Linked DNA regions of Bombyx mori. The protein of the gene in region 2 purifies or fractionates together with the protein of the main gene of each other region. This does not show direct contact. Links are inferred from orthologs where the notes say so. Each region holds a gene or a part of one and is shown on either strand. Other genes may lie near its edges.

What was found. The genes of interacting proteins can lie anywhere in the genome.
Region 1: the proteins of MOF (region 2) and Msl3 purify together in Homo sapiens (affinity purification with mass spectrometry; 4 studies listed by BioGRID and IntAct, with this or other methods). This does not show direct contact. The link is inferred for Bombyx mori from reciprocal best matches to the Homo sapiens genes KAT8 and MSL3.

Annotation. Positions count from the first base shown.
Region 1 is NC_085113.1:6,781,265-6,785,551, reverse strand, and holds the start of Msl3 (male-specific lethal 3), read left to right. Parts: upstream 1-1,479; 5' UTR 1,480-1,701; coding exon 1,702-1,803; intron 1,804-3,114; coding exon 3,115-3,293; intron 3,294-4,122; coding exon 4,123-4,250; intron 4,251-4,287. UniProt on the Homo sapiens protein: Non-catalytic component of the MSL histone acetyltransferase complex, a multiprotein complex that mediates the majority of histone H4 acetylation at 'Lys-16' (H4K16ac), an epigenetic mark that prevents chromatin compaction.
Region 2 is NC_085123.1:12,415,194-12,419,380, reverse strand, and holds MOF (MOF protein), read left to right. Parts: upstream 1-1,379; 5' UTR 1,380-1,511; coding exon 1,512-2,840; 3' UTR 2,841-4,083; downstream 4,084-4,187.

The sequences.
Region 1 (4,287 bases), on a different chromosome or scaffold from region 2:
CGCTCGGTGGAAAATCTCCCCTCCGTTGTTAAAAAATTCTAAAGACCTATTTACCAAAAATAGTAGTCGAATAAGAAAAAATATTTTCCTTTTCTCCCCGCACGAATAAGTACAACCATCCTGCTGCAAAGCAATCATGTCATGCGTCATTTCACCTTTGAAACAGGAGCATTTACAATAAATGAAAATGCACAAGCACATGTGTCAAACTGTGCGCTTTGATTTTTATGGGCTCCGAATATAAATAATAAAAGAATATTTTATAATAAAAGAGAATAACGTTTTTTTTTCGTAGCGAATTATCGGAGTTTTAGATTAAACTATGCTTTCTTGTAAAAACATTAAAAATAAATTTTAGAAATATCATAACATGAAAATACAACGTGCGCATTATCGCTATTAATCTTCCAGGCAACCGTAAGATGAACAAAATCATAGAAGAAATAATGATAGCTTGCGATGTAACAATTTAAAATGCTTAATTGACTGAATGAGATAGAAAAATATTAATTAAAATACAGCATTTTATGAATAAATAAATAAATAAAAAGACATAGGTACAGTTATAAATATGTACTATAAAGTATGTAAGTAATAAGAACTATTTTATGACAAGAAGTTATAAATAAGAAGAATATTATAAAAATACAGATTTAACGCTTTTTAAAAACGCTCTATGACGTTTTTTGTGGTAACTAATCATAAAAGTAATGTTTTCTCAACATCCCTTTACAGAATTTTAATACTGAGCCAATCTTGATCGACAAAGGAAGTACATTCCATGGCCGAACGGATTCAATAGTTAACGACTGGTCAAAAAAACTTGAGGATAAGCATCACAAAACGCAGGCTCTTAATTATAACATATTTTGGTAGTTAAGTACGATTGAAGATAATAGTGTTTTTCGATTTCCTCCAAATAGGTTGAAATCGTTCTACCTAGATGGATTTTGTAGCCGCCATTAGTATTTCAAATTACAATTTTAATACTGATGGAGTATTCTTGTTAAAGGTAAAATCCATTCGATATTTCTCACTAGTTATTCTCCCCACAAAATAACGTTATTGAAGTAGTACTACTTTGCGATCAACAATTTTCTTAACAGCTTAATCGGGAGACCCACTGCCTACTCCCAAACAAAGCTTCTAAAATCCCCGGAAACTGACCGAAAACATTAAGCTGACCTCTATAATCTTGTACATTCAACCATAGAGTTTTAGAGTTACATTGAAGCATTATGATCTAAGATTTCTTTGCCTCTCCAAATATCAAATAGAGAAACAAGAATGAAATCGATCAACATGTCATTTTGAAATGTAAGCTTTATGCTTTTATGATAAGAACTATTTAGGTTTAAATGCTTTAACTTGACGTTGACAGATCCTGACAGCTGAGAGAAACCAAACAAAACAAATATCTGCAGCAGCCGACGCCCAAACAATAATTATTTTCAGAAATATAAGGCGTGTCCAGGGCGTGTCGCGCTACCTAAAATAATAGTACTGTACCGCTGATCTTACTATTGCACACCACGACCTGGAGTCATTCGGACGTCCGCAACCAGTTAATATCGCTAGGTTATTACAGATCATTGTTTTTTTTTGTTTTTAACTAAAATTTTACAAACTTAACCATCGCATTTGTTAAATGGAGTGATTTTATTAAGTTCCCATCAGTTTTGGGCAAGGCATCAGTTAACAATGGTCTCTACACGGGGGCTACGATATAAATTCACTGAGGGGGAACGAGTCCTGTGCTACGAGCCAGACCCTACTAAAGCCAAGGTGCTTTATGATTCCAAGGTAAAATACTTCTTTTTTTAAATAATATTTTTTTTAAACAAAAAACGAGGAATCTACCAATATGTAAAAAAACTATATATGTTTTAAATAAATGAAGTAAAACCTTAAGGCAGAACCTTAATTTAAAAATATAAAAAAATCCTTTCATTTACTTGTGAAAATCAGAATCTGTTTTACTAAAGAACATTTAAAAGTTGACCACACCCAAAACTTTCTTTGTATATAATTAATGTTATATAATTACAATTCAAATAATAGAAATATACATAATATGGAAAAAAAAATAAGAGTGCTAGCTTTAAAATTTTTGATGAGAACATAATCCAAATAATGCATTTGCTTTTGGCATCATGTTACTTAAAAAATATTCCAATCAAATATTGCTTTAAAAAGCAAAGAAAGTTGCATAAAATATATTATTTTATTGATAGCCACACCTGGACCAGACTTGAGATGTATAATCTTAAATAAATTAATATATTACTATATAATGATACATGCTCTACATTATTTAGTAACTTTTTCAAAAACCACTTAAACTTGATTATCACAAAGAAACTGAATGAAAAATTATAAAATTTTAACATTTTCTATTATAGAGCTTTTTTTTTACAAACGTCAATCTTAATTTTCTATAAAATACAACAAAATCCTACCTAAACCTATCTGCTCATTATAATTGGAGCAAAAATATAGTAGGAAATGAATTCTTTATATTCATTTCAAGAATTTGCACGAACAAAGCAAACCGTGACCACACCCTATCTGCACATTGGAAGTACAACAACTCATGTGTAGTCAAATCATATCAACATTTTAATGAATATAATAATATGTATTGAAACTGAAAATATTTATATCCAAGTAATATATATTTTGAAAACATATTATAATAAAAAGTGAAATTTCCATTAGAATGTATCAAACAAAGAATTTATAGTATGTCTGTATTTTTTTTTTTGCTTTGATGAGTGGACAAGCTCACACCCACCTGGTGTTAAGTGGTTACTGGAGCCCTAGACATATAAAACGTAAATGTGCCACTCACTTTGAGATATAAGTTCTAAGGTCTCAAGTATAGTTACAACAGCTGCCCCACCCTTCAAACCGAAACGCATTACTGCTTCATGGCAGAAATAGACCGGGTGGTGGTACCTACCCGCGCGGACTCACAAGCGGTCCTACCACCAGTAAAAAAACATATTGAAAAAAAATTAATAAAATAGTGAAATTTCCGTTAAAATGTATTGAACAAAGAATTTATAGTGTGTCTAAGTAAAATACTATTTAATTATATCAATAAATAAACAGGTTCTTGAAGTCGTAGAGAGCAAAGACAAACGAGGGCGTAGAACTGTTGAGTATCTAATCCATTTCCAAGGATGGAACTCTTCGTGGGATCGCTGTGTCAGTGAAGACTTCGTTCTCAAAGATACAGAGGAAAATCGACAGCTGCAACGTGATTTAGCTGAAAAATCACAGCTTCAGTTGTAAGTATTCATCACTACATAGTATAAAACAAAGTCGCTTTCTCTGTCCCTATGTATGCTTAAATCTTTAAAACTACGCAACGGATTTTGATGCGGTTTTTTTTAATAGATAGTGATTGAAGATGAAGGTTTATGTGTATAATAGCATCCATTAGATAGTGGAGAAATCAATAATAAATTACAGTTTCCGAAGCGAAGCGAGGGCGGGTCGCTAGTAACACTTCAATGAATCTTTAATATGAATAAGTTTAATAAGTCGTTATAGACAATTTACTGTATTCTTATGCATTTTAGGTCTTAACTACTAAAATTCCTTTTAAAATTAATTAAATATTTTCCGATCAGAATTAGGCCTATAACAATTCTTATTTCTCGATTTCATGTCAATCTATGTTTTAACAACAAAAAATCGATTTTCGATACATAACATTTGAACATTGTATAAAATTTCTGCAGTTCATTGTCTGCAACAGCCACGCCCTAGGCAACGCAAACATCCCCGTTAGCTATTGCGCATGAAACCTAGCCACGTAGTACATACCTATAGACCTACGTACCTAGACATATATTAAGCGTATAATTCGAATACATGATGGCGTGTGTAATGAAAAGTATAATTTATTTGTATCTAGGATTTATTGTTTATTAAAAAACAATAAAAAAAATTAAATCCGCATTGTGCATCCTGATTTGCAAAGTGAATATTCCAAACAAAAAAATGCGTAATTGTAATGAAAAACCTTTGATTTTATTATTTTGTGAAAAACTATAGAAATAAAATTATAGAATTGCATCGCAGTATTATCGACATTGGGGTTTTTTTTGTTAGAGGGGCTTACTTGTACCGTCGGGAACGAAAGAAGGGTGGTAGTACAAGCGCCGCCGGGGCGGGGCCCGCCAAGCGCACCCGTCATGGCTTTAGCGACGACGGCTCTTCGACAAGTACCCAGCCAGACGGTAAATATAACCATAATCTATAGCACACCTAGGGGGA
Region 2 (4,187 bases):
CTCAGGCTATGCTCACCGCACTTTTAAGTTACCGTGATTCAAAGAGCTGTGTGATTTTAGGTGAACGCTAAAACCCTAGCACAACAAGGAAAGAATGTTCAAAATTTAATTAGTTTTAAAACTAGTTTATTTAGAACCTTTGTATTTCGCCTAAATCTTGACCCCAAGTATATTAGGTCCCCTACGTATTTTGATTTGGGGACGGGCAAAGGTGACCAAAGAAAACGATGTGTAAGCTGCTTTACGCGAGCGAATGATCAATTAGGAACAGATTATCACACTCCCTGACTCACACTGATGGTGGTGCCACCTGGAAGGCTTCAGAGTGCTCACCAACTGAGAGACCTGGTGGTAAATGTGCCATCGACCGTCAGTTTAGCATGCAATCGACACAGGGTGACCAGAAGAGATGCGCTCTAGGCAAAACCGGTCCTTGGCCCCAATTGGCCTTGGATGAATACCGCCTCATGCAAGGTTCGGTTGCGTGTTGATAAGCGACAATAATTTTTAGTTGGTTCAACTCCGATATGCCCAGCATACTGGTCCCAAATCACATATGGATGTCCTACAATTTCCTCCTAATCCAATAAAAGCTGGTAGCCTAGAGAGGCTATTCTAGCGGAATCTTAACTAGTAGGTGAGCTCACGGGGCTCAAACCTGACGACGATGCTAACACGAACCCTAGCAAGAGTCGTGCTTCGCAGAATCTACCACCGGATCGGAAACGCGACTCACTGAGAAGATCCGGCGAGAAACTCAATGGGCTGTGTCTGAGAGTTAATTTACTCGTCGAGCCCTTCGTCGCAAGCGACGGGTTAGACGACAACGGTGATCGGTGCTTGAAGTACCTCGAAGCACCGTTAGTGGATGGGGAGGATCCGAGATGACGTGTGAAGGGTGGGGTAGCCGTTGTAACTATACTGAGAACTTAGAACTTATATCTCAAGGTGGGTGGCGCATTTACGTTGTAGATGTCTATGGGCTCCAGTAACCACTTAACACCAGGTGGGCTGTGAGCTCGTCCACGCATCTAAGCAATAAAAAATAAAAAAATAAACATAAAAAAATTAAATAAAAATATAAAAAATATATATACATATATTTAACTATATCGTGTTTTGGATTATTTTTATAAAACAGTTTTATTAATTCACTTTTTACCTGTTTCACTTTATATCAAATTTTCCGTCATTGTCATTTTCAGTATATTTCTTAGAGTCGCCTCCTTTCTACTTTCTTAAAAAATTAAAAAACAGCTTATAATCCAGAGGTGGTGGTGGATTTTGTAGCCGATACAACTTAAATATTACCATTATTGCTCTCTATCGTAGACTTTATCATACGAAATCGATAAAATCGCTAGAATTCTATCGGACTCAACTCTTAACCGTGCATTTCTCGTATGCTGCTTGGTTTTTCTATAATCTATGCTAAATGCTAATATGGCCACTTCGTCGATGAAGCGCATTGCGCGGTATTGCGTGATACCATTGTTGTTGTCGGCATTATTATGGCAAAAGGTGATAAAGAATTAGAGAAGCCAATAGTGAATAATGAGTTGCCTAATCCTGAGTGTCGAAGTACTGATAATGAAGACTCCGAGTCGGTCCCAGAACAGCCTTTGGACATAGGAGAACATTATTTAGTGCGGCGATCGGATGAGTCATGGCACCCGGCTGAGATTATACAGTCGCGATACAGTACAGCGGAATCTTGTTACGAATATTATGTCCATTATGTCGGATATGATAGAAGACTCGACGAATGGGTGTCCCGCCACCGGGTTATGTCAGATAGGTTCGACGTATGCGAGCAGTCGAACAATAACATAAACTGCGACCACCTGCTCACGGACAAATCCGGCCGGAAAATAACAAGGAATCAAAAACGTAAACATGACGAAATAAACCATGTGCAGAAAACTTACGCCGAAATGGATCCAACGACCGCCGCGCTTGAAAAGGAACATGAAGCTATTACTAAAGTTAAATACATAGACAGGATACAAATTGGAAAATATGAAATCGATACTTGGTATTTTAGTCCGTATCCTGATGAATATGGTAAACAATCAAAATTGTGGTTATGTGAATACTGTTTGAAGTATATGAGAATGGAAAAAACATACCGGTACCATCTCAGTGAATGCACAGCACGCCAACCCCAGGGTAACGAAATATACAGAAAAGGTACAATAGCTATTTTTGAAGCAGATGGCAAAGAACATAAAATATATTGTCAGAATTTGTGTTTATTAGCCAAATTATTTTTAGATCACAAAACCCTTTATTTTGATATAGAACAGTTTTTATTTTATATATTGTGTGAAGTTGACAAGCAAGGAGCTCACCTTGTAGGATATTTTTCAAAAGAAAAGGATTCACCTGAAGGCAATAATGTGGCATGTATATTGACTCTACCTCCATATCAGAGACAGGGGTATGGTAAACTCCTGATAGCTTTTAGTTATGAACTCTCAAGGCTCGAACAAGTTGTTGGAAGTCCAGAGAAGCCTTTATCAGATTTAGGCAAGTTAAGTTACAGATCGTACTGGTCATATGTTTTATTAGAAGTGTTAAGTGCTAGTAGAGGTACATTAAGTATCAAGGATTTAAGTCAGATGACAGGAATATCACAAACGGACATCATTTCAACTTTACAGTCAATGAACATGGTGAAGTACTGGAAAGGACAGCATGTTATTTGTGTTACACCTAAAATAGTTGCTGAACAATTAGCAAGCCCGCACTTTAAAAAACCACGGTTGTCAATAGATCCTTCAGCACTGAGATGGACGCCCCCTAGTAAACAGGGGAACTCTGCCAAAGCCAAAAAGTAGTACAGGCTTACAGGCAGGGCTTAGGGAATGTTAAAACACAGTTAAAACCAATATCTCAAGTCCAGGCCTGTTATAATAAAAAACTGCAACACATAGAATGCTAGAGTATTATAGTCGTAAGAATCTTTAATAAATGCAGTTGCTTTAAAGAAAATTCAAATGTAAAATAGCATTTTGAGATCGAAGAATCCCAGTGGATGGAACGACAGCTAAGTATTTTCAAAATTAGAATAGGATTAATGATATAGCTTTTAAATTGATGAGTGTTTTTCACAACTTGGGGTTTTGTTGAAAGAAAGAGTACCTCTAAATTGTATATTACACTATATGTCTATTTGTATACTATACTTTTATGTATTGCTCTTTTGGGATGATATCTCATATTGTGATGCATTGACCCTAGTATATAAATTTTGTGTATGTAACTTATTTTCAAAGACAAAAATATTTGTTTTCTAAGTGCCACATTCATTAAAAAGGACACAGTTTCATTAATATGTTTATTTCATGACAATGTAATGATTTAGTTCATTACCATTATTATTTCTTTTAATTTGTAAATGCTCTTTTATTTGTTACAAAACTAGATCTGCGTATTTTTGTAACATATCTCATTCAGTTCCTTTTAAACTGGTTTAAGTGATACTAATATTAAGTTTAAAAATTAAGTTAAAATTGGAAATAATGTAAGATTCATTTTAGCTTTAATTTTTTGTTTATTTAGGGCCATGTCTTGTTAGACTGACAGTAAAACTGTCTTCAATGTATAAAGAGACTAATTTGTGTAGTTTAATGTCATTTTAGGGATCATTTTGCAATATTTCATCCACATTTTGAAGTCAGAAATTAAATGATGCAAACAAGGAAATCTTGTGTAATCTTATGACAATGGCCCTCCCACGCATATCCAAACTGTTTTCAGTGTAAAAACACGAGTTTAGTATTGTGAAAAGTTCAATGACTTATGTAACCATGTGCGGACTTAAAATAGCTGAGGATTATTGCATCATTCAAGAATGACATGTGAGATTTGTTTTGAAATGTACTTGAATATTTTCTGTTTAGGATAAGCTTTTGTATTGTGTTTATTTCAATTTGGCAAAAATGTGTTGAATTGTCTAAAAAGATCTTGTTGCCTCATCAGTTAGATTCTGTGAATCGTCAGTTTTCACTGTTTGTTTGTGATAATCTTAATTTGTAAGGTGAAAGTGTCAGAGTTCGAAGATTAAAAAAATGAGAGTAATTTGTAACTGTGTTATTTCTAAACCCTTTTTTATTTCGTAAATTAAAAACAAAACCTTGTATGTTTTTTTTTCAATTACTTTTTATTGATTCATTTTCACATAT